2 linked regions of the Caenorhabditis elegans genome follow. The protein of the gene in region 2 interacts with the protein of the main gene of each other region in a pairwise test. Each region holds a gene or a part of one and is shown on either strand. Other genes may lie near its edges.

Region 1 (10,992 bases), 1.2 Mb from region 2:
TTTTCTGGTAAATTTACTATATTTGAATAAATATGTACATTCACTGTAAAACTGAAATATTCGTTCTTGTGATGTGACCATTAAAATTTAGTTTTTAATTTTTTTTGGATTTTTGGACTATAAAAAATTGCTCAAAATGTGCTAGATTATTTGAAAACCCAAAATAAATCTGGAAAAATTCAGTACTAACTAAATTAAAGAAATAAAATTGGGTTTTTATAAAATCTATATCCACAGATGTTTGTAAAAAAACCCAAAAATATGGAACAATTTTGTACTTTCACTGTAAAACTTGAATATTTGTTCTTGCGATGTTACCATCAAAATTTAATTTTTTATTTTTTTTTCGGACTATAAAAAATTGCTCAAGATGAGCTAAATTATTTAAAACCCGAAATAAGTTTGAAGAAATTCAGTAATAAAATAAAGAAATAAAATTAAGTTTTTATAAAATCTATATTCACAGATTTTTAAAAAATATCCCCGAATAAGATTTTCCACATTGCTCTTTAAGAAAATTGAAAAAAAATTGAGTCATGAAACATTTAACCATTATTACGGTTTCTTATACATGGTTATTGAAACAGTAGAATTTTTGAGAAATTCACTAAAATTAAATGTTTATTTACTTTCACTGTGAAACTGGAATTGGGCCCAGGAATTGAGGCATTATGACTCCTTAACAAAATATGCTAATATTTTTCTGGATATACTTTTGACAATTCTACATGATTCAATAAAATCCGATTTTGTGGGTTTTTATTAAAATAATGTGAAACATTTGATAGAATTATGACTGTACTGCAAGAGCATAATTGAATACTAGAACGAGCAAACCTGAAAATATTTTTATATTTTTTAACGTTTTCTACAATTTTTAAACATTTTTTAAACTTTTTCTCTTACATACTTTTGCAGGAAGTCACGAGATTGCAAGAGATTGAACATGACCATAACAGTGTTCTGTTTTGTTAATGAAACAGTAATTTTATCCGATAAATTTACTACAACTGAATAATTATGTACGTTCCCTCGTTCTTTCGATGAGACTATTAAAATTATTTTTTTCTAATTTTTTTGGTTTCTTGGACTACGAAAAATTGCTCAAAGTGTGCTAGATTATTTGAAAACCCGAAATAAATTTGGATGAATTCAGTACTAAATTAAACAAGTAAAATTGAATTTTTATAAAACCTATAGATTTTTAAAAAATATCCCCAAAAAAAGGTTTTCCACAATGTTATTTTGTATAATTGACTGCGAAATATACCTAGCCTTTAAAATTTAATTTAAGATGATCTCGCATAGAATCAACATTGAACCACAATACAAACAAATCTTATTATTGAAGCAGTAGAATTTTGAAAAAAAATCACTAAAATTAAATGTCTATTTTCTTTTACTGTAAAACTGGAATTGAGGCCATTGATGAACCCATTGCAAAATATTTTCATATTTTTCTGAATACACTTTTGATGGTGGAGTATGAATCAATAAAATCCGATTTTGTGGGGTTTTATTAAAATAATGAGAAACATTTGAAAAAAAAAGAATTCCGACAATCAAATCATTATGATACACAAATTAAAAATCGTGTGCAATCGTGGAAAACTCGAGTGAATGGGTTGGGGTTTTTAGTTGCAGTGGTTTGTGTTGAGAGAAAAGGACACTTTCGTTTAAACAGGTACCAAACAGGGGGTGAGAAATGAACGAGTGAGAGCCAACTTGTAAAAAAGTAAGGGGAGTTGAAAAGGCAAACATGGTATGGAAAAAGGTGATATTTAAAGATAATATTGCAAAGGATGGTGGTGGATTTTAAAGATATATTGAAACATTAAAATAAAAATAAAAAAGGGGGTAATAGCCTCGACAAATATTTTTTGGGGGGAAACAGATCATTGGAAATTGAGACGCGTACAGTGTTCAAGAGACGGAAAGACATAGAGAGAAGGTGAGAGAGAGAGAGTGTGAATGAGAGAGGTGAATGGAGGAAGACCAGAGCTCATCAAACTACTAATTTAGTTGACTAATTTTTTTTTGGAAGATTTTTACTTTTTTAAAATGTTTTAAGGGAAGAACTACTATGGAAAACTGCTCTCACACTCCGTGTGCTGCAGCCGACACTTTCCGAGTTGCGCGCATCACAGCTATAGCCTCAGCAACGCTCTGTGTGTTGCAGCCGACGCTTCCCGGGTCGCGCTTTCCAAAGTAGTACTAATTTTGAAATTTCTACGGTACGGGGGGTTGTGGTAGGGTTTTACAGGTTTACAATAGATGTATATTCGGATGGTTGCAAATTTTTACACGTAACAGGGTTGCGACAGAAATGGGAGTGGTGTGTGTGGGTGTGGGTGTGAATCGATCAAAGAGTGTGAAAATACCTGAATGAATGCACCAAAATCACTGTTTTAAGGGAGAGAGCGAGAGACATAGAATTACCGAATTATTTTGAATGAAAATACAAGAATTTTTGTTAAATTGGGATCCCAGAGTTGGAGTGGAGGAGTTTTGCACTTGTAACACAGCTTTTTTTGAGTGAGTGAGAGAGAGAAAAAAAGAGAATGACTAGTAAGTAACACTATCTATCAAATTGCCTATAATGGAATCACAGAGAGTAGGTTTTGCAAAAAAAATTGTTTTGGGGAACTTAGAAAAAGTGAAGGCAAGACAAAAACGTGTAAGTGAAATGGGGGTTTGAAATTTGAAATTTAAAATGTGTTTTCAGAAACAGTAAATAAAAAAAAGACTGACTAAATCACCAGAAAACACGAAACCCGAACGATAAAGTTCTACGCGACTTGTTTCCAGGTTTGCCGGAAAAAAAACATTTTGATAAGTATCTCATATTATAGCACAAGCGTCTTTGACTAACCCGTTCGGCTATAAAATTACATGTTTGAATGAGGGAGGAAGAGGAAGAGGAGTGTGAATGGGATGACTTTTTCAAGGGAAAAAAACAGGGAAAGAAACATTTTTTGAGAACAGAGATTGATGATGAGTTGGGTGGGGACTTAGAATTACTGCGTGTGAATATGTGTGTGGTTTAGACTCGGTGAAAAGCAAAAAACGAAAGAACATCAAAAATGGGGTATGAAGTATGACAAAGAAATTTGGTATGTACAATCACTCAGTTACCAATACGGAGTGAGTTCAAACGGGTGCCGTTGAGCAAGTCGGCGGTTCCGAAAGGGTCATAGTAGCGCTGAGGTTGGTTAGCACTACCATCGTGGTTTGGGGCTGCTGGCTGTTGGTCGACTAGGCCGACACCGAGAGCCGCGGCGGTAAGAGTACGGTCTCCAATTGATCCGGCATCTAAAAATTGTAAATTTATAATTAGTTCCCATTGTAGTTTTGACTTACGATTGGATGGCGAGAAACGATCAATCTGGCTGGCACCGTCAGCACTTGGTGGGCTTGCCGATCCTCCAGAAGCTCTGGAAGAGGATCCACGAGTGTTTCCAATGATCGCAGCTCCACCTCTTCCACACTGGCACTGACAAGTGCATCCGGTACGTCCAATTGGATTGTAAGACATACGATCCAAAAAGTCATCAGCCTGAACACCAATGCTTCTCTCGTTCTTGGCGCTTGGCGGCATGGCGAGCAACGAGTTGTAGTTGACTCCCGAGAGAAGCGTCTCGTTCATCGAGCTCAACGGAGTAAGAGAAGTGAGACGTGGATTCGCGTTGGTGTTGTTCGACCAGGTGCTTGGGGAGAAGAGAGGGCTCCATTGGTCTCCACTGTTTCCGCTTTGAGAGAGGGAAGATTGAGAGTCCCAGAGGGAGCCCGAGCGGGTCGCTGCTGGAGTCATGGCGTGCTGAAAAAGATGTAGTTTTGTTTATAGAAATTTGAATTTTCAGCACGTGAAGAGCATGGTCAAGTTACGAATTTGTGAAATTTACAAAAGTTTGCGCTATAGTTGAACAATTTTTGATAAAGCTAAGGACACCCGAGATATAGGCTGTCAAAGTAGAACGATGGGTGATCTACTGTGGCCCCAGAAAATTTGCTTCCTGAAAATTACAGCGCTACAGATATTCTAGAACTATTCGTGTCTTTTGATCAAGCACGACAAAGCTCTACGGCATTGCAGTGTTCACCTCACAACTCAACTATTTGAAAGTGATAACTACTGTTTCATCATCTTGTGAAATATTTTGTGATTTTGGAAAAAACCGCTACGTTGTTAATCTAATCATGGATATACTTACCTGATGCTGCATGAGCAAATTCTGTGGTCTTCCAGTGGCGAACGAGCTGCCCATCTGAGCCGACATGGTTCTCTGAATTCCACGTGGTGGCTGTCCGTAAGCCATCTGCTGGGAACGAGTAATATCCATTTCTTGGAAGTGCTGCTTGATGAATCCGACATAGTCATAGTTTGGCAGATTGCGACGAACAGAGACATAGGTGCGGTTGGGGAACAGAGCAAAGACCCAGTTGTGAGCAGTCAGCAGGTTGAGGAAGTCCTGACGTCCTTCTCCAGTATGGCTACGAACTTCTGGCATGATGTCTGGGCTACCGTAGTAGTCGAACAGCGACTGGATTGATGTGGCTCCACCACGACGGAGAAGATAGGATGCCAATTGGTAGACAGCTTGATACACTGCTGGATACTGAAATGGAATAGATTTAGAATATCTAAATCTTCTGAAGAATTGCTTACCTGAAGAATGATGGAGTCATCATTTTGAAGACGGAAGAGATGAGTACGACGCTCCACGAATTGACGACGCTTCAACGATGATGTGCCAACATAACGGAATAGCTCATCATCCCCACAGTTGGACATTTGAGAGTGAAGGCTGAAACTCCTGAAGGGTGTCATGGAGATGCCGTCGAACAAATAAGGTGAGCAAGGGAATGGTCAGTTAATATATAGAAAGGAGGCACAAAAGAGCGAAACTTAGCAATCAAGCAACTTTCAAAACATCTATCCTACCTGCTCAGCTGAATCTGCTGCAATCCGTGGCGTTGGAAAATTGCCAAGAGAGCTGGAATCGCCTTCTGCTCGAGAGCCGGCGAGTAGGCATCCTTCGAGTTTGGTGGAGTTGGATTTGCCGCCTCTAGGTCGACTTCTTGGGAGTTTGCAAAGAGAACATCAGCATCGGGACCATAGATTGGTGAGACAATGGTGGCGGTGTACTCGCTTGTCTCATTGAGTGCAGCGTGGAACGACAATGTGAAACCAACACGAAGCACGGAAGTCAAGTCATTGAGCATCTGAAAATTTGTCAGATGTTGAAGTGAGGCTAACCTTGGTAGATCATAGAGATCATATGGGTAATTAGATTAGCTAATTTTATAAGGTACTTTATAATCGAAAAGGGTTTGTACTAACCTGATCACAAAAGTCCTTGAGCTGGAACGAGATGATCATCTTGTCCTTGCAAGTGATCAGACCAGCCTTGGCAGACAACCAAGTCAACACTCCGAATCCATGGATGGTGTCGGCTCTCTGTTGTTCAGCCATAGACGGTGGAAGGACTTGGGATGGAGTGACGAGAGGCTGTGGAGGGACCATCTGAAGTGGATGTGGGTTCTGGTACTGATTCAGCATTCCGAGTGTTGGCATGAATGGGACCGCGTGGTTCCCAAAGTTGTCCGGGGCTGAAATAAACTGATGTCTGGGAGAAAAATTAAAAAATTTTGCAGTTTCAACTATTTGATTTTTAAAAAATATTAAAACCTAAAAATTAATTATGAACCCGCAATGCGAGCTCACTTCGTTTTGAATTTTTGCTTAATCATGAATATCTTAGGTTTTTTCGCTGATAGTACCCAACGTGGAAACTACGATAGGTTACGGTACGGGATCGAATGTTTGAACACTAACTTTTTACTATTAGTTTACAATTCTACTGTTTCAAATTTAACGGAAATATTGGCACCTGACAAATTTACCTCAGTTTTCAATTAGTAGGTTGTTCTAGAAAAAATTTGAATGGAGGGTGAAATGGAAGTTAAAACTATAAAATGGAGTGCGTTTCGAATTTATTCTAGGTCCCCTCTAATTGCTCACCGTACTTTAAAAATTGCGTAATCATAAGCGTCCTAGGCATTTGACACAATGCACAAAGTTGAAACTACGGTAGGTTAAGGTACGTAGAAGTTATATGATGGCCGTGGGTACAAGGTGCTCGAGAAGTGATCCCTGTACGCAATTTGTGTGCCGTATAACTGTAGTCACTGCAACCTGGTTCGGTAGAGTGCATTTGCACTACCCATTGCCTTCGTAAGGTTCCGTTTTACAGGGGCATGTAATGCTAATCACATTTTTATTAAAAAATATGATTTCGCTGCGGGACCCGGCCCCTCACAAAATATTGCTTCATAATATCTATAAAGGTTAACAGGTAGGAAGGAAAAGTAATACCATTTCATTCCGACAAAACCTTAAATGTCGAGCGGATCCTACAACTACAGTACCAGATCTCTTGAAAATCTACCGTATTCCGTAATATTCACAAATGATACGGCTGCCTCTAAAGGGTCTACCGTAGAAAACTTGAGGTTCCTAGGAGTACCTTTATAATTTTAATTGGCTAGTCCCGTGAACCTAGATTATCAGAAAAAATACTGTTACACAATGGATATAAAGCAAACGCGTGAGAATCAAAAATATTGTTTGGTCCAATTTAATTCCGAATTTCCTGTTTTAGTATTGCATGCAAGACTAAAAGAGATCACGATTAATAGACGAAATACGGTATATGCTTACGTATCCAGTACCGTGATTCGAGTACCTCTACAGTAACCAATAAGTCAAGCGGATCCTGTAAAGACTACAACACGAGATCTCTTAAAAATCTACGGTACTCCTTAAAGGGTCTAACCTAGAAAACCTGGGTATCTAGGAGTACATTTATAGTAACTCTAGTCCTTTAGTCCTATGGTGCACACGAACAAAAAAGTACTGTTTCACAATGGTTATAAAGCAGAAGCTTAAGAATCAAACATATTAACGCTTTTAAAAGATTTGCATATGAACTTTTATATATGTTATCGTATCCAGTACCGTTATACGATGCACACTAAAGCCTTCCTTGTAGGAGAGGTATTGTTGAACTTAGAGCTAGACAATCGGGGGCTCGGATCGATATTGATCTTTGAGTACTGGTGGGGTGCTTCCTTACCTCCCATCTGCGAAAACTGTTGGAGTGACCATAACGACTGTGGTGGCTGTTGCTGCTGCTGTGATTGTTGTTGAGGTGGTGGTCCCCCTCCGAGTGGTTGCTGATTCGACGAGAAGAGACTATTCATTTCGTAAGACATCCCGTTTCAAGCTGTCTTCAGTCCGTTCGTCGTCGCGTCGATTCACACACCACAGACAACACAACACGTCGATCGATCGTTCGGGATGGATGACGTGATGGATCCTCGGTGCCTCGAGAATACTGGAATACTGATTTGATTAGATTAGAGTAGTTGGTTAAGGATCGGAGATGACTTAGAAGGAAAAAGTAAAAGAACAGAATTTGGGCAGCAACATACGCACTCAAAAATATATGTATGAAAACTAAACTGAATAGAAATATAAGAAGAATAAAACGAAAAATAGGGGAGAAGACGGAGAAAAAGTATGTGAAAAGAAACAACATGGGGGTTGTGTGTAGTGAGAGAGAGGGAGAGTGCATCGTGTGAGAGAGACAGCTAGAGAAAAACAGAGAAAGACGGGAAGATGTGCGCTGTGTCCCGAAAGGAGAAAGAGAGAGAGAGTGCCCGCCGCTCAACACTCACGCTCACGGACGCTCGCTCGCGCAAAAACGCTCATCGGAGAGTAGTGATCTCTCTGTCTCGGCGTCTACGACTCTTCTAACCACTCTGTATATGTGTGCGCGAGCGTGCCCGAGGGACACCAGGTCTGCGTCTCCGCACTCTCTCGCACTCACCCTCATTTTCGTTCGGGTGAGCCAGCAACGCAACACACAACCCACTCAGCCCACCCCGGCCCGGTCTATCTATCTATTGGGGGACTGAGAGAGAGAGAAAGGGATGGAGAGAGAGAGAGAGAGGAAATCAATAAGCACACAGGAAAGGGTACTGCAGCAGAAGAATAGTCTATAAAAATATATGAATATGCATGTGAAGAAGAAGAAGAAGCGTCATCAAAGGATTATCCTCGCTTCACAAGCTTTAAATTGGTCCTGGGTCCCTCCACGCAGCCAAGTGCGCTCTACTGCACTACTACAGTATACCTGTCAAGTAACCAAAAAACATGTTGATAAGATGTAGTCTACTATTTTTTTTTCAAGTGATAAGGAGTACTAGAGTTGCGAAATGTTGTTAGGGACTTTTTTTGGGGCTCGGAAAATGACGAATGTGTAATAAGATACAGTAATGCGAGATTGAGGTCTCGCGACGAGCGAATTTTTTCCAGCTACCGTACCCAAGAGTACGGTAGAATATTTGTAGGGTTTCCCAATACGTTTGATATTTTCACATGAAAGTTAATAGTTTTTTGTTTTTTTTTACCTAAAGAAGAAAAAAACCAAAAATTAACAAAAAATATATTCCTACAGTACTCATGAGTACTGTAGCTCAGAAAATTTTGCTCATGTCGCACTGCTTATTAAATTAATCCAGTTGTAATTTTCGAGAAACATTTTTTATAAATTCAGTGAAACGGAAAAAAAATCGTATTTCCATTGGGACTGGATTTAACGGGTCTCGCACCGACTTTTTGTGATTTTTGTTGCAAATTTTTGTGCTACTGCTAATTTAATCAATTCTATTGTAGCTAAACTTTTTGGGAGCACGGAAAATGACGAATGTGTAATAAAATATAGACTACAGTAATCCGGGGTTAAAGGCGCTATTACTCAGATGTACAAGTTTGCAAGTTTTAAAGTAAAAACACGGTAGTAGGTCTCGAAACGACTTAAACTTTGCAGCTACAGTACCCACAAATATTATTTCGCAATTTTCCACGTTTATTTAAAAAGGAATTTGGCCTTTTTCAAGATTTTCAATAAAGTCATATGTAGTTTTTGTATTTAAAATTTTCAAAAATTTTACCGAAGCCGCGTTGCAAGCGGAAGCGCTGAAAATTTGCAGATTGGGGTCTCGCAACGAGCGAAATTTTTTCAGCTATCGTACCCAAGAGTACGGTAGAATATTTGTAGTGTTTCCCAATACGTTTCCTCTTTTCACACCAAATTAAATATTTTTTTGTTTTTTTACCCCAAGAAATAACTGAAAATCAAAAACTACAGAAAGAAACCAAAAATAAAAATAAATTTCTACAGTACTCATGGGTACTGTAGCTGAGAATTTTTTTTTCAAAAGTATCATGCCAGTTCTCGTTTTATTGTTGTAATTTTCGAGAAACATTTTTTGTAAATCCAGTGAAACGGAAAAAAATTGATTTTAATTGGGACTGCCGGGCGGGTTTTATCGAGTGTCGCAACGACTTTTTGTGGTTTTTGTTTCAAATTTTTGTACTACTGCTAATTTAATCAATTATATTGCTGCTAAATTTTTTTGGGAACACGGAAAATGAATATGTAATAAAAAACAGTAATCCCCGTTTAAAGGCGCTTAACGAATTATTCAGATGCGCAAGTTGGCGATTTTTGAAGAAAAAGCACGGTACTGGGTCTCGAAACGATTGAAACTTTGCAGCTACAGTACCCAATATTAATATTTTGCAATTTTTCATTATTTTTGAAATATAATAATACCGAAGACGAGTTGCAAATGGAAGCTTATTATTTTTCTGTAAAAAGCAGCGCTGAAAAATTGCAGATTGAGGTCTCGCAACGAGCGCTTTTTTTTTCAGCTACCGTACCCAAGAGTACGGTAGAAAATTTGCAGGGTTTCTCAATACGCTTGCTCTTAGATCTTATCACACGAAAGTATATAACGTTTTTATGTTTTTTTTTACTTTTAGAAATTACTGAACATAAAGAAATAAAAATAATTTTTTACAGTACTCATGGGTACTGTAGCTTAGAAAATTTTTTTCGTGCCAGAACCTGAATCCGATCTGTTCTAGAAACACTCTTGCATCTTATCAATCCAGTAAATAGTAATTTTCGAGAAACATATTTTATAAATCCAGTGAAACGGAAAAATTGATTTTAATTGGGACTGCCGGGTGGGTTTTATCGGGTCTCGCAGTGACAATTTAGTGATTTTTTGTTGAAAATTTAATAAACTTCGATAGTTGGGTGTCGGCACGATGGATTTAAGAACTCAAAAAAACCTGAATTTTCGCACAAAATTCGTCTCATTTCCCCAGAACTCTTGGAAAACCACAGGAAAAACTATATGTTCTACCAGCCGTGGACCGCACCTACGACGGGCCCCCGACTTTTTGAGAAAACACATTAGATATACGGTGTCTATCGCGGACCTCGATCGATGTCTGCTGCGCACTTAACATAAGGTTTCCCAAAATTTCGTTGCTCTGATCAAAGATCAAACTACATAGGGACAGAAGGACACGCGCTTTATATATAGTAAATGATAAATAAATAAATATTATTTAAATAAATAAATAAATATTAATTAAATAAATAAAAAAATATTAATTAATTAATTAAATAAATAAATATCAATTTAAAAATAGTCTATGTAGTCTTTGTAGTCTGTGACGTCACACCCAAAGTCACTGAGAATTGTGGGCGGGGTCTGTCATCCTTCGTGGTGAGACCCATCGTGGTGAGACCCATCGTGGCGAGACCCATCGTGGTGAGACCCGTCGTGGCGAGACCCATCGTGGTGAGACCCATCGTGGTGAGACCCATCGTGGCGAGACCCATCGTGGTGAGACCCATCGTTGCGATACCCACCGTAGTGAGACCCATCGTGGCGATACCCGTCGTGGCGAGACCCATCGTGGTGAGACCCATCGTGGTGAGACTCGTCGTGGTGATACTCATCGTTGCGAGACCCACCGTGGTGAGACCCGTCGTGATGAGACCCATCGTGGTAAGACCCATCGTGGTGAGACCCGTCGTGGTGAGACCCATCGTGGTGAGACCCATC
Region 2 (10,875 bases):
GTATTCTTTCCGAACATAGAAAGAAATAAATACAAATAAAAAAAACCAAACTTAACATTGTGGTTCTTCCTTCTCTTCCATCCCTTCAATCCGCGTCCACCTCTCTGCCCGCCACCAACTTCCACCCGACATCCGTCATCTTGTCCATCTTCGGCGACAAGTCCTCCATCGGCTTCCTCCATCGCCCTCCATCGGCTTCCCGATGCTGCCGCTCACCAATCCATCCGCACACCGACCTCCGACCTCCGACCATTGCCAAAGATTGAAACTGAATTGTGACAAGATAAATGAGTTACTTTATATAACAAGCAAACTCACTCTTTTGGTGCTTCACCGTGCACAATTCGCTTGACGATCGCCGATTCCAATCTTCCATCGACCATCCCCTTGGCTGACCGCCACCCGACATCCGCCAACAGCAATTTGTCCGCCATGCTGCTCGAACACCACCAGCCAATGCCACTGCCAACGATTGAAACTAAATTTTGTCAAAAAATCTGCCCTAATATAGCCACGCTTATCAAGATGTACTACATCATCACGTAGCCACGATTTTTTAAAATTTTTTTCTTCCACGGTTTATCATGCTTTTTGTTCTTTTTTTCTTCACTATTTCTGCGTAAGGTATTGAGAAACTGAGATTTATTGCGTGTTTTAACGAGAAATGGTATTGAAAGAAAGTAATCATTCAGGTAGTAGCTGATTCAAATCAAAGGTATCAACAAATAAAATAAAAAAGTAATAAATAGAAAAGGCAACGAAAAGTTGGAGGAATCGGGAATTTAACAGAATAGTGGAATAGTTAGATCCTACAATATTTGGGAGTGAATTTGAGTTTAAATTTTAAAATTTTAAGAAAACCCAGCCTTAATAATTATCAGTGCAATGAGAAAAATTTTGGAAAGAAGGGAAATAATGGGGTCCGAGATTTAGATAAGTAAGAAAATTTAGAAAAAAATAGAATTAATTGATATCGATTGTTGAATTGTTTGTGAGAAACTGTTGATGAAATTGAAGAAATTCGACAATTTATGGAAGATCTTTGAGCGAGATGAGCATTTCACCGAGATGCAAATCGAATACCACTGTCATCTGAAAATGAACGATTTTAATTTAAATAAATCAATTTTCGTGGAAAAAAACCCGTACATCTGGATTAGTATTCACTCTTTCCGGGAAAAGGAACGCGGCAACCGGACGAAGTTTCGTGTTTCTGATTCCCAGGATTTCGAATTCATAGATGACACCGTCGGCGATGGGGCGAGTTGGTTGAACCTGAAAAAAAAAAATTAAATTTGAATGTTGGCTTAATAATAAATTAATAATAAATAACTTTCGCTTAAAATTCGAAACAAGATTTCCTAAAATTCGAAGAGTCAAAATTTTCGATTTTCTGAAAAAAAAAAGGTTTAAATTTGTTGTCGAATTTCAGCTTCTAGAAAAAAACCTTTTCGAACTTTACAGAAAATTTCAAAAAAAATCCAAAATTATTTTCAAAAACTCTATTTTAAAAATCTATTACACAACATGGGTACGCGGTAATTGCCGGAATTGCCGAAAATTCACAAAACTGGCCATTGCCGAAATTGCCGGAATTTTTGAAAACCGACAATTGCCGATATTTCCGGAAATTCTCAAAACCGGCAATTTAAAAAATGCCGGAAGTTTTGAAAACCGGCAATTGCCGAAATTGCCGAAAATTCTCGAAACCGGCAATTGCCGATATTGCCAGAAATCTTAAAAACCGGCAATTGCCGTAATTGCCGAAAATTCACAAAACCGGCAATTGCCAATTGCCGGAAATTCACAAAACCGGCAATCGCCGAAATTGCCGGAAATTTTTTCTTCCGATTTTTGTCTTTTTTTTTAACCCTAGAGTCCCCGATATCAACGAAAAAAACGCTAAATTTCTGCAAAAAGGATAAAATCGAAAGTAATAAAAATTAAATTACGACAGTTGCAACAAAATTAGCAAAACTTTAAATTTTAAGAGGTTTAGTCTTTTTTTTCCTAAATTTTGAGCCGCAAAAAATTTTCTTCGAATTTTAGCAGATGTTTCATTATAAAATTCCGTGTTTCAAGGCTATTTCTAAATTTATTCAGCAATCATAGGTATTATTCTTACCGTAACGTCCTGTGTTACAGTGATATATGTGTCCTGTCGGAACTTTTCAGCGCTAATATTAAAGTCGTATAACACGAATTCCTTCGAAGCCATCACAATATCTTCTCGTTGAGTTAATCTAATATCACGCATCTCTCGAAGATTAAAACTTCGAACAGTACTCAAATCGACTTGACAATGAGCTGAAGGATCTGGTCGAGCATCGAAATGAACTCTATCTGAATAGAAGAGATGTCCAAGAATACGGAATTTTGTTGGAACAATCTTTTGAACGTGATCTCGGAATCCAACGAATTCTTCTATTCGGAAGAATGTCTCTTGATCCAATGTACCGTCGTAGCGACAGAAGTTAGCTGCAAATAAGTAAAAGTTAATTCGGAGTTTTAATAAATTTTTTTCGAACATTTTTCGATTAAAATTTTCGTTTTGAGTATTAATCTTTTTTTTCCGAAAATTTCTTTTTTTTTTTAATTATTATCGCTTTTTTCTGAAAATGTTTTTTTTTTCCAGAAAATTGATCGATTTTTTAAAGAAATTTTCTGAAAAAAAATTTTTTCCCGGAAATTAATCGATATTTTTAAAAAATTTCTGAGAATCAATCAATTTTTTTTCTTCTAAAATTGTTTCTTTCTATCCAGAAAATGAGTCGGTTTTTTCTGAAATTTTTTTTTTTCCAAAAAATTTATCGATTGCTTCTAGATATTTTTCAAATTTTTTTTTCGAAATTTATCATTTTTTAATGAAAATGTACCTCTTTTTCCTAGAAAAGTGTTCAATTTCTCTGAAATTCGTCGATTTCACCGAAAATTTATTTTAGAACTTTCAAAGTGCATAGATTTTTCAAAAAGATTTATCGATTTTTGTTTTCGAAAATCTAACAAATTTTTAGAAACGTTTTTTTTCGAATTTTTTCAAATTTCCGAAAATGAATTGACTTTTCCATAATTTAGGAGCGTTTAATTATCAAATAATAATTTCTAAAAATTTCTGACATACTAATAAGATGCCTTATAGGCGTTTGGCTTTCCACAGTATTAAGCACACACTGAGCTGGAATACTCGATGAAATATCACGAGTAAATGGAAGTTCAATCGGATCAATTTCTCCCATCATTGCCTTGAAATAACTATCATCACGGATTTTCTGAAGTTGATCCAGTGAAGCGGTCTCGTAGCGAAGACTGTCCTCGTGCTTTTGAAGATTTTCGTCGTACTGAAAACAAATTTTATAAAGTTCTAAAATTGAAATCTTTTCGCTTTTTTTTAATCCTAGAGAAATTTCAAAATCGAACAACGAAAAATTTTCGATTTTTGAAAAAAGGAATCGGAATTTTCGGTTTTTCGATTTTCTGAACATTTTTTTATTAGATTTTTCGGAAAATCAACAATTTTTAGTTTTTTTTCGATTTATAATTTTATTTTCAGAAAAATTACGTTTTTCTGCACGGTTTTTATGTTGCTAAAGTCGAATAATCGAAACATTCTTGTTTTTCCGATATTTCGAAAACAATTTGTATTTTTCGGAAAACATATTAAAATTTGGGTATTTTTCTAATTTTTTTAAAGAATAAATATCTGTTTTCTTATGTTTTTTTTTTTAATCAAAATAAATAAAATTTGATAAATATTAAATTTTAATATAAATTTTCTGCATTTTTCTTTGCTTTTTTTTTTTTGGTTTTCCGGAAAATCGAAAATTTTCGTACTTCGATTCTTTCTTTTCCGAAGTTTTCTGATTTTCTCTGAAATCCTATAGATTTCAATTTTGAAAAATTTCGTAAAACTTCCAAAACTGTTCGACATTTCAAATCGGATTTTCTCGAACTCTATCAATTTTTCTTGCATTTAAAAGTGCAAAATCGAGTAAATCGACAAAAACAACGTACAAAATCATTGTACACATCCAATCGATTATTCAAGAGTTTCCATGATCCTTCATATTCTTTATCACACTTCACCAAACATGGTTCCTTGAATGGAATAATTCCAAGATCCCATGCTCTTGATTTTGACGAGTCAATGATATTGTCTCCGTGACCAGTTAGATCAGATCTTAAAATTGAAAGTTTAGAATATTTCAAAATTAATTTAAGTTTTTTAAAGAGTAAATCTCACGTGAAATGGACAGAAAATCCGTGTGCTACTCCATCTTTCGCCGGTCGAATTTTGAAAGAATTCGAGTTGGCAAGTGAATCCTTCAAATTGGCAATACTGCTAAAATCGACCGAATGCATGGCTACTGAACCAGAAAGAAGTTCAAATTGAGAGTAATCTGCAGCTGATGCACACCAGTACGGTTGTTCGGCATCTGATTCGCCAATTTTCACGTATTCGGATCGATAACGAACTCCTCCGTAGTCTTGACAATGAATATCGAAGATTTCACGACAACTGAAGAGACGGACGTAGACGGTAGCCTGGAAATGAATAAAGTTATATTAAATTAGGGAATCAGAATGCTTTCAAGAGGATTATAGAACAAATTGTATTTCTCTGAGAGCTAAACCTTTTTCAATTTTGATATTATGGGAATTTCGCTTCTAAAAATAAAATAAAAATATTCTAAAATTCCGAATAACAATAATTTCTCTGATTTCGTCCAAAACGAGAACTCCCCGATCCATCATCGATTCCAGGGGTGTGCGGCAAATCTCAAAATTTGCCGAGCTCGGCAAATTCGGCAAATTTGCCGTGCTTAACAAACTCGGAAAAATTATATATTTTTTGATATTTTTTGGAGCACCAAAACTACTGAATTCTTAACACACCTCTGGTTTCTGAACAAGTTAGGTGTAGTGTGTCTGCTTAAACATCAAAATAACTCAATTTGTTGTCATTTTACTAAATTTTTGGCGAAAAAATCAACAGTTTTAGTCAAAATTGTACTGTCAAATTTTTGACGTGTGCGGCAAATTTCGAAATTTGCCAAGCTCGGCAAATTCGGCAAATCTACTTTTTTGAAATTTGCCGAGCTCGGCAAACGGCAAATTCGGCAAATTTGCCGCACACCCCTGATCGATTCGTTTTAAAGGTTGAGCACCGAAATCTTATAAATATTTTTTTAAAGGACTTCAAATTTTCCCCAGATTCCGAATTCTATGTGAAAAAATTCAAAAAAATTCCCTGATTTTAGCGTGAAATCAAGATTTTCAAATGCCGATTTTTCGCACCAGAGACGTCATGTGTCGATTTACGAGATTTGTGTATATTTACGAGATTTCCAATCTTTATCGGATGCTTATTTTGTTTTTCAACGAGTTTCCTTCATTTTCGTCGGTTTTTGCAAAAGTTTTTTAAAGGAAAATGTGTTTTTAGGTTAATTAAACATTATATCATCAAAAAACGAAAAATTTGTCAGGTTTTTGATGATATAATGGTTAATTGACTTCAAGAACACACATTTTCAAAAAAAAAATTGGCAAAAACCGACGAAAATGAAGGAAACTCGTTGAAAAACTGAAATCATCATCCGATAAATATTGAAAATCTCGTAAATATACACATGGCGTCTCTGGCGCGAAAATTTGGATATCTCATGAGGACGCAAATGAAAATTCGCGATTTTAAGCTGAAATATAAAACTATTTTTGAATTTTTTTCACTTAGATATTCAGAATGAGGGGAAAATTTGAAGTCATTCGAAAATATTTCCCAGATTTCGGTACTTCTTATTTAAAAAAATTAAATTAACTGAAATTTCATACTGAATTCGGAATTTTCAATCTGTTAGCTTTCAGAAAACATATTATTCATCGTAGAATTCTCTTGAAAATACGGAATTCCAAATTGTTACCTGATGCGGAATAAAGATAGTTCTGTCATGTGAAAAACGAACATGAGCGTCCAAGAAAGTCTCTACAATTTTTTCTCCGAATACACAGCAATCGAGAGTTTCGGAAACGACTATATCGGCTTTTTCACAAGTTTCAAAGTATGTCGAGTTCTTTGCGTGAACATTAACACGACTTTCAACACCGTTTCTCTTTAAAACCTCCTTAGAAATCATTGTCAGGCACATATTTTCTTCGAGAGCGGTCACCAAGTTGGTTTTTCTGGAAAAAAGAATATTTATAATTTAATTTTAATTTTTTTTTTTGAAAGTCTTACCTCGCAGCAATAGCCGATAAAATACCAGTACCGGATCCAATATCGAAGACAACTGTGATTCTGCTCTTGATAGTGTCGTTTAGAGCTTTGGCAAACGCTTCGTTTCGTTTCTGAAATTATTTTGCAGTTTAAAAGACTAATTTAAAATTTTTAAAGCTCAATTTAGCTAAAATCCTAAAATTCAGCTAATTTTTACGTTTAACAGCGGATTTAAATTCGATTTTATTAAATTATCACTTTTTATTGCATATTTTGGTTGTTTCTTACGCGTTTTTATGCTGATTTAGGGATACTAAACGACGAAAAAACTCGGTGAAGAGTGAAAATCCAATAAAAACTGATTTTCGGCGGCTTCAAACTGGCAAAATTGAAAATTTCAGCTAAACTCAGCACTTTTTCTTTGAAATTTTGAATTTGAGGGACTTTTCTGATCCGTTATTCCTCAATCAAACGTAGTTTCTGAATAATTTTAACTTTTTTTTGCATTAAATGAGGGGTATCGAATTCTTTAAAAATGTCCGAATTTCATTACTAGAACTAAATTTAGCATAAAGTCTTCAAATTCTCCATTTTTTACGTGTCTGAGCTGACTTTAATTCGTTTTTATTGCTTTTTCCGCATGTTTTAGTAGTTTATTACCAGTTTTAATAAAATTCTAGGTGTATTTTCAGTGTTTGGGAAACTATCGACTGAAAGTGTACCAAAATAAATAAAAATTAACTACAAATTAGCAAAATTTGAGATTTTAGCTGAATTTATCACTTTTTCTTCAAAAATTTCGAATTTGAGCTCTATTTTCTTAAAAATTCGCTGTTGCGATTCCGTTTGGATACATTTTTTTCCAGGAATAAATTCAATGCTAGCGGTTTTTAATTACCACATCATTGATCATTCGAATATGCCACTGTGGGAATGGAATTGTGGTTAAATTGACACGTGCAATCCTCAAAGCCACCAAATCCTCTGGTTTCGTCGCCAAATCCATCGAATCTTTGCAAATCGGCAGGCAATTCAGAAGCCATTTACTCTGCTCGGTTCCTTGTACAGCACGAATCAGAGCGATTTTCGTTCGAATCGTTTCCGGGAATAATTCCTTGATTTGTGGATAAAGGCAGACAGCCCGGGAAGCATTGTTGTGGTCCAGCGCAATCCAGCCTGCAAAAAAATTAGTTTTTTTAACAGAAAATTACACGTTTTTCCTTATAATACCATGAAGAGCTGCAGCAAACTGATCTTCATAGACTCCACGTCGTTCTACTGGTAGCATTCGTATGCAGACGAAGAAATGTTTGAGTGCCTCCTCGAAGTTTCCATCGAGAAATGCCCGTTCGGCCTTTTCCATTGAGAAGCACGGTGTTTCCTGTGCTGGTTCGGCCATCTGACAATTTATTTTTTCATTTTTATTGATAAATAGGTTAGAAATCATTAAAATAAATGAATAAAACGAGCAAAATGGGCTGGGAGCGTTCGAAAAATATATTTAAATAAATCATGGCCTAGCTCGGGTGCCTCCGTGTTTTCTCGTCCTCAAACACTTTTTTCGAGTCCCTCGTCTCGAAATTGCAAATTTTCGGCGGGCTTTTCAATTTTTCTCACCTCCCCGAACACTTTTTCAACCCAAAAACTGACATAATGTGTCGGCACAACTTCAAATGAACTTGACGCCTTCCGCAACCCGGTTTCTTATCGATTTATGTACTTTTTTGTTCAAAGTGTATATCGGTGTCCAGTTTTGGGATAAAGTGAGAGAGAAACGGAAACATTTGTGTTTGAAGCCGTTTTGATTAGTAGATCGTAAGTTTTTTAATGAATTTTTTATGGGCTACGGCAGAAACGCGGCATTTCAAAGCTCAAAAGGTTTTTTCTCGTTTTTTTTCCGATTGTTTAAGATATTTAATACGAATTATTACTCTAAATATGTGAATTAAAGCTAGAAAATCGAAAGAAACGGAGAGAAATTAAAACAAAAAATAGGAAAATTTTAAAATTCCGCAATTTGCCGTGAAAGTGTATGCAGAATCCGCAAACAACATCACGTCAAATTGCGGGAAAAGTGAAGTACAGTAGTCATTTCTTGCGTGTATTTATTTTATTTTCGAAAATTTTCTGAAATTAGTCTTAATTTTTTGTATTTTTTCACAATTTTTTCTCCCAGCAGCATAGAAAAATGTGACAAATATTTGTTTGAGCATCTCTGAGTAACAAAACGTTCAAAGTTCTTTATCACTTTGATCGATTCCGACTTTTTAGTGATTTACGACCAAGATCTCTAGAACAGAAATAATAACTTCACCTCTAAATGCCTATTATCCCATCTTATCCTTTCAGTTTTCATTTTCCAATTCCGTTCGTTCCGTTTTCTGTCAATCAGCCAAAAAGTTGTCGTTTTCCCAGCGGGAGACGTCTTCATTTCGGTCTTTTTCCGTTTTCTTTTCACCATTTCTGTCAACTGTCACCGGGGAAAAGTGTATTTTATCGTTGGCAATCACAATGATTTATTTAATCGGCGGTTTTTCTTAGATTTTTTAGATTTTAAAATTATCACCCAATTTTCAGGAATTCAAAATCGGTCATTTCTGAAACTTTTCGAAAAAACGGTTTTTTGATTTACTGTTTGAACTATAAAATTTACTAAAAAATTCTGATTTCGATGGAAAAAATCTTTTTTTGACGTTTTTCAAAAAACGATCAAAATTTTCAATAATATCCGGATATTTCTAAATTGTTCCAAAAAATTGTTTTTATTAGTTTTAAAGTTTAAAATGTGGAACATTTATTCGAATATTTTTTAAAACCCGACACCATTGCTCGTACCACAAAAACCTTCAATTATTCGATGGTTAGTCACACAATTTTTTTTTGAAAACTTTATCCGGAGCAAGTTTATTGAGCTCCGAACACGGGTAAACTCCTCAATTAGGCAATGGGTCACTTGTCACAATAAATGTCCATTGAAAACTGACAACATCTGGTGCTCAGTCCCCTCTCTCTCTCTCTGTCTTTCCTTTGAGAAACCACCTGCCAGATGTATATATTCGAATCATTTGACAATCTGCGTCTCTTCAATTCCACGAGCATTGTCTAGCTTCTTATTGCAAATATATATATGCATGCGCGCAAATGATTATTTTTTTTCGCTCGCATAGTTTCCGCATATCAGGCGTTTCCGTGCGGAAAAATAATAAAAAATTTGACACTTGCGCGTTTTGCAAAAAAATGTGTATTGTTTGTTTTAGTTTACGATCTCGCTTTTTTCAAAAAAAAAAGAAGTGCAGGAAGAAGTTCGTTTTTGTATATTTTTAGAGTCACTCCCCCGTATTCTTAACTTGCACGGCCTTTTACATCATCAAAACTAGGCTAAGAATTCAGATTCAGAGAATATATTGTGTATTTATTTCCACTTCTACGACTTTAAATGTGGAGTACCGAAATCTGAGCATTTGCGTTTTTAGTCCTAAAATGACCCAAAACTACCGAATTTCGTAATGAGACGTTATGAAATTTTCTCAAAAAAAAATTATGTCGGTTCAAGGTTCTGGAAAAAAGGCAATTTTTCAGCTAAAATCAAAACATTTGACAACTTCTCGGCGTGGCAGCGTGTGACACTGAGAAGTTGGCAAAAATTTTGATTTTAGCTGAAAATTGGCCTTTTTTTGCCAAACTTTGAACCGCATCTAACTTTTTTTTGAGAAAATTTCATAACGTCTCATTACGAAAATCGGTAGTTTTGGGAAAATACACAGTATATCGATTGACATTCTAAAAAAATTGCACATTTTGCCGTTTAAACCCCAAAATTAAATACAGCTCAATATATTTATCGGTGCTGTAAATGCATTTTTCCCTTGGTTTTCATAATTTCTCACTTGAGTCTAAATCCGATCAGAAATCAATTGACCCCCCCCCCCCCCTTCGGCTCTCGGAGCAACAATCTCAAGAACTTGTATTTGCACATTGTCAAACATAAGTTGACATTCCCCAGATATATCTCGTACGGTTTGGATTTTACGTGATATATCTTACATACTCGACTTTTTTCTGTACTGTTAATCGATTTAGCAGTGGTAAAGACGTTTTTAATTTGGGCCTATTATTAAGAATGAAGACAAAAACTAAAAAATTTACGACAAGACTCTAATTTTGGGAGGCAGAAAATTGCAGATCTAAATGAGAAAATATAGACCCCTTCAAAATTTTGGCTCTCGAGTTTTCCCGTTTACGCACGTGGGGCCAGGCTGTCCCATCACGGTCTGATCTACAAAAAAAATGCGGGAATTCTTTGCTCAAAAAAATGTGACGACAGCACGTTCTTAACCATGCGAAATGAGGTGAGAACTCTGCGTCTCTTTTCCCGCATTTTTTGTAGATCTACGTAGATCTACGGCGAATATGAGACACTCTGACACCACGTGTATATTGTATATTTTCATTCTCAAGACCAAGTACAATTTCAAAAATTTCGAAAAAATCTGAAACCGTGTAAAGTGTGTAGGTGGCAGGCGGCTGCCCTCCTTGTTTGAGGTCATCAAATTATGCAAACTACCATTCATGCTGCCGAAGAGGTGGTAAAAGGAATAAGAAGAAGAACAGTGACAGGTATAGGACGACGCATAATTTTATTACCACACGTCCTCTAACTCTCT

Evidence for each region.
Region 1: the proteins of prmt-9 (region 2) and lin-66 interact in a two-hybrid assay, tested with the Caenorhabditis elegans proteins (one large-scale study listed by BioGRID).

What each region holds. Positions count from the first base shown.
Region 1 is NC_003282.8:13,884,494-13,895,485, reverse strand, and holds lin-66 (GATA-type domain-containing protein), read right to left. Parts: upstream 7,398-10,992; 5' UTR 7,276-7,397; coding exon 7,137-7,275; intron 7,086-7,136; exon of another isoform or gene 7,065-7,085; intron 6,984-7,064; exon of another isoform or gene 6,963-6,983; intron 6,647-6,962; exon of another isoform or gene 6,626-6,646; intron 6,395-6,625; exon of another isoform or gene 6,374-6,394; intron 5,932-6,373; exon of another isoform or gene 5,910-5,931; intron 5,736-5,909; exon of another isoform or gene 5,698-5,735; intron 5,611-5,697; coding exon 5,342-5,610; intron 5,224-5,341; coding exon 4,943-5,223; intron 4,815-4,942; coding exon 4,667-4,814; intron 4,617-4,666; coding exon 4,212-4,616; intron 4,204-4,211; exon of another isoform or gene 4,180-4,203; intron 3,818-4,179; coding exon 3,361-3,817; intron 3,313-3,360; coding exon 3,128-3,312; 3' UTR 1,501-3,127; downstream 1-1,500.
Region 2 is NC_003282.8:12,676,769-12,687,643, forward strand, and holds prmt-9 (PRotein arginine MethylTransferase), read right to left. Parts: upstream 7,611-10,875; coding exon 7,442-7,610; intron 7,388-7,441; coding exon 7,110-7,387; intron 6,343-7,109; coding exon 6,233-6,342; intron 6,178-6,232; coding exon 5,919-6,177; intron 4,543-5,918; coding exon 4,241-4,542; intron 4,178-4,240; coding exon 4,012-4,177; intron 3,339-4,011; coding exon 3,122-3,338; intron 2,479-3,121; coding exon 2,126-2,478; intron 1,276-2,125; coding exon 1,150-1,275; intron 1,093-1,149; coding exon 1,030-1,092; 3' UTR 630-1,029; downstream 1-629. Other genes in the region: T23B5.6 (Transcriptional regulator), read right to left, coding at 136-268, 319-434.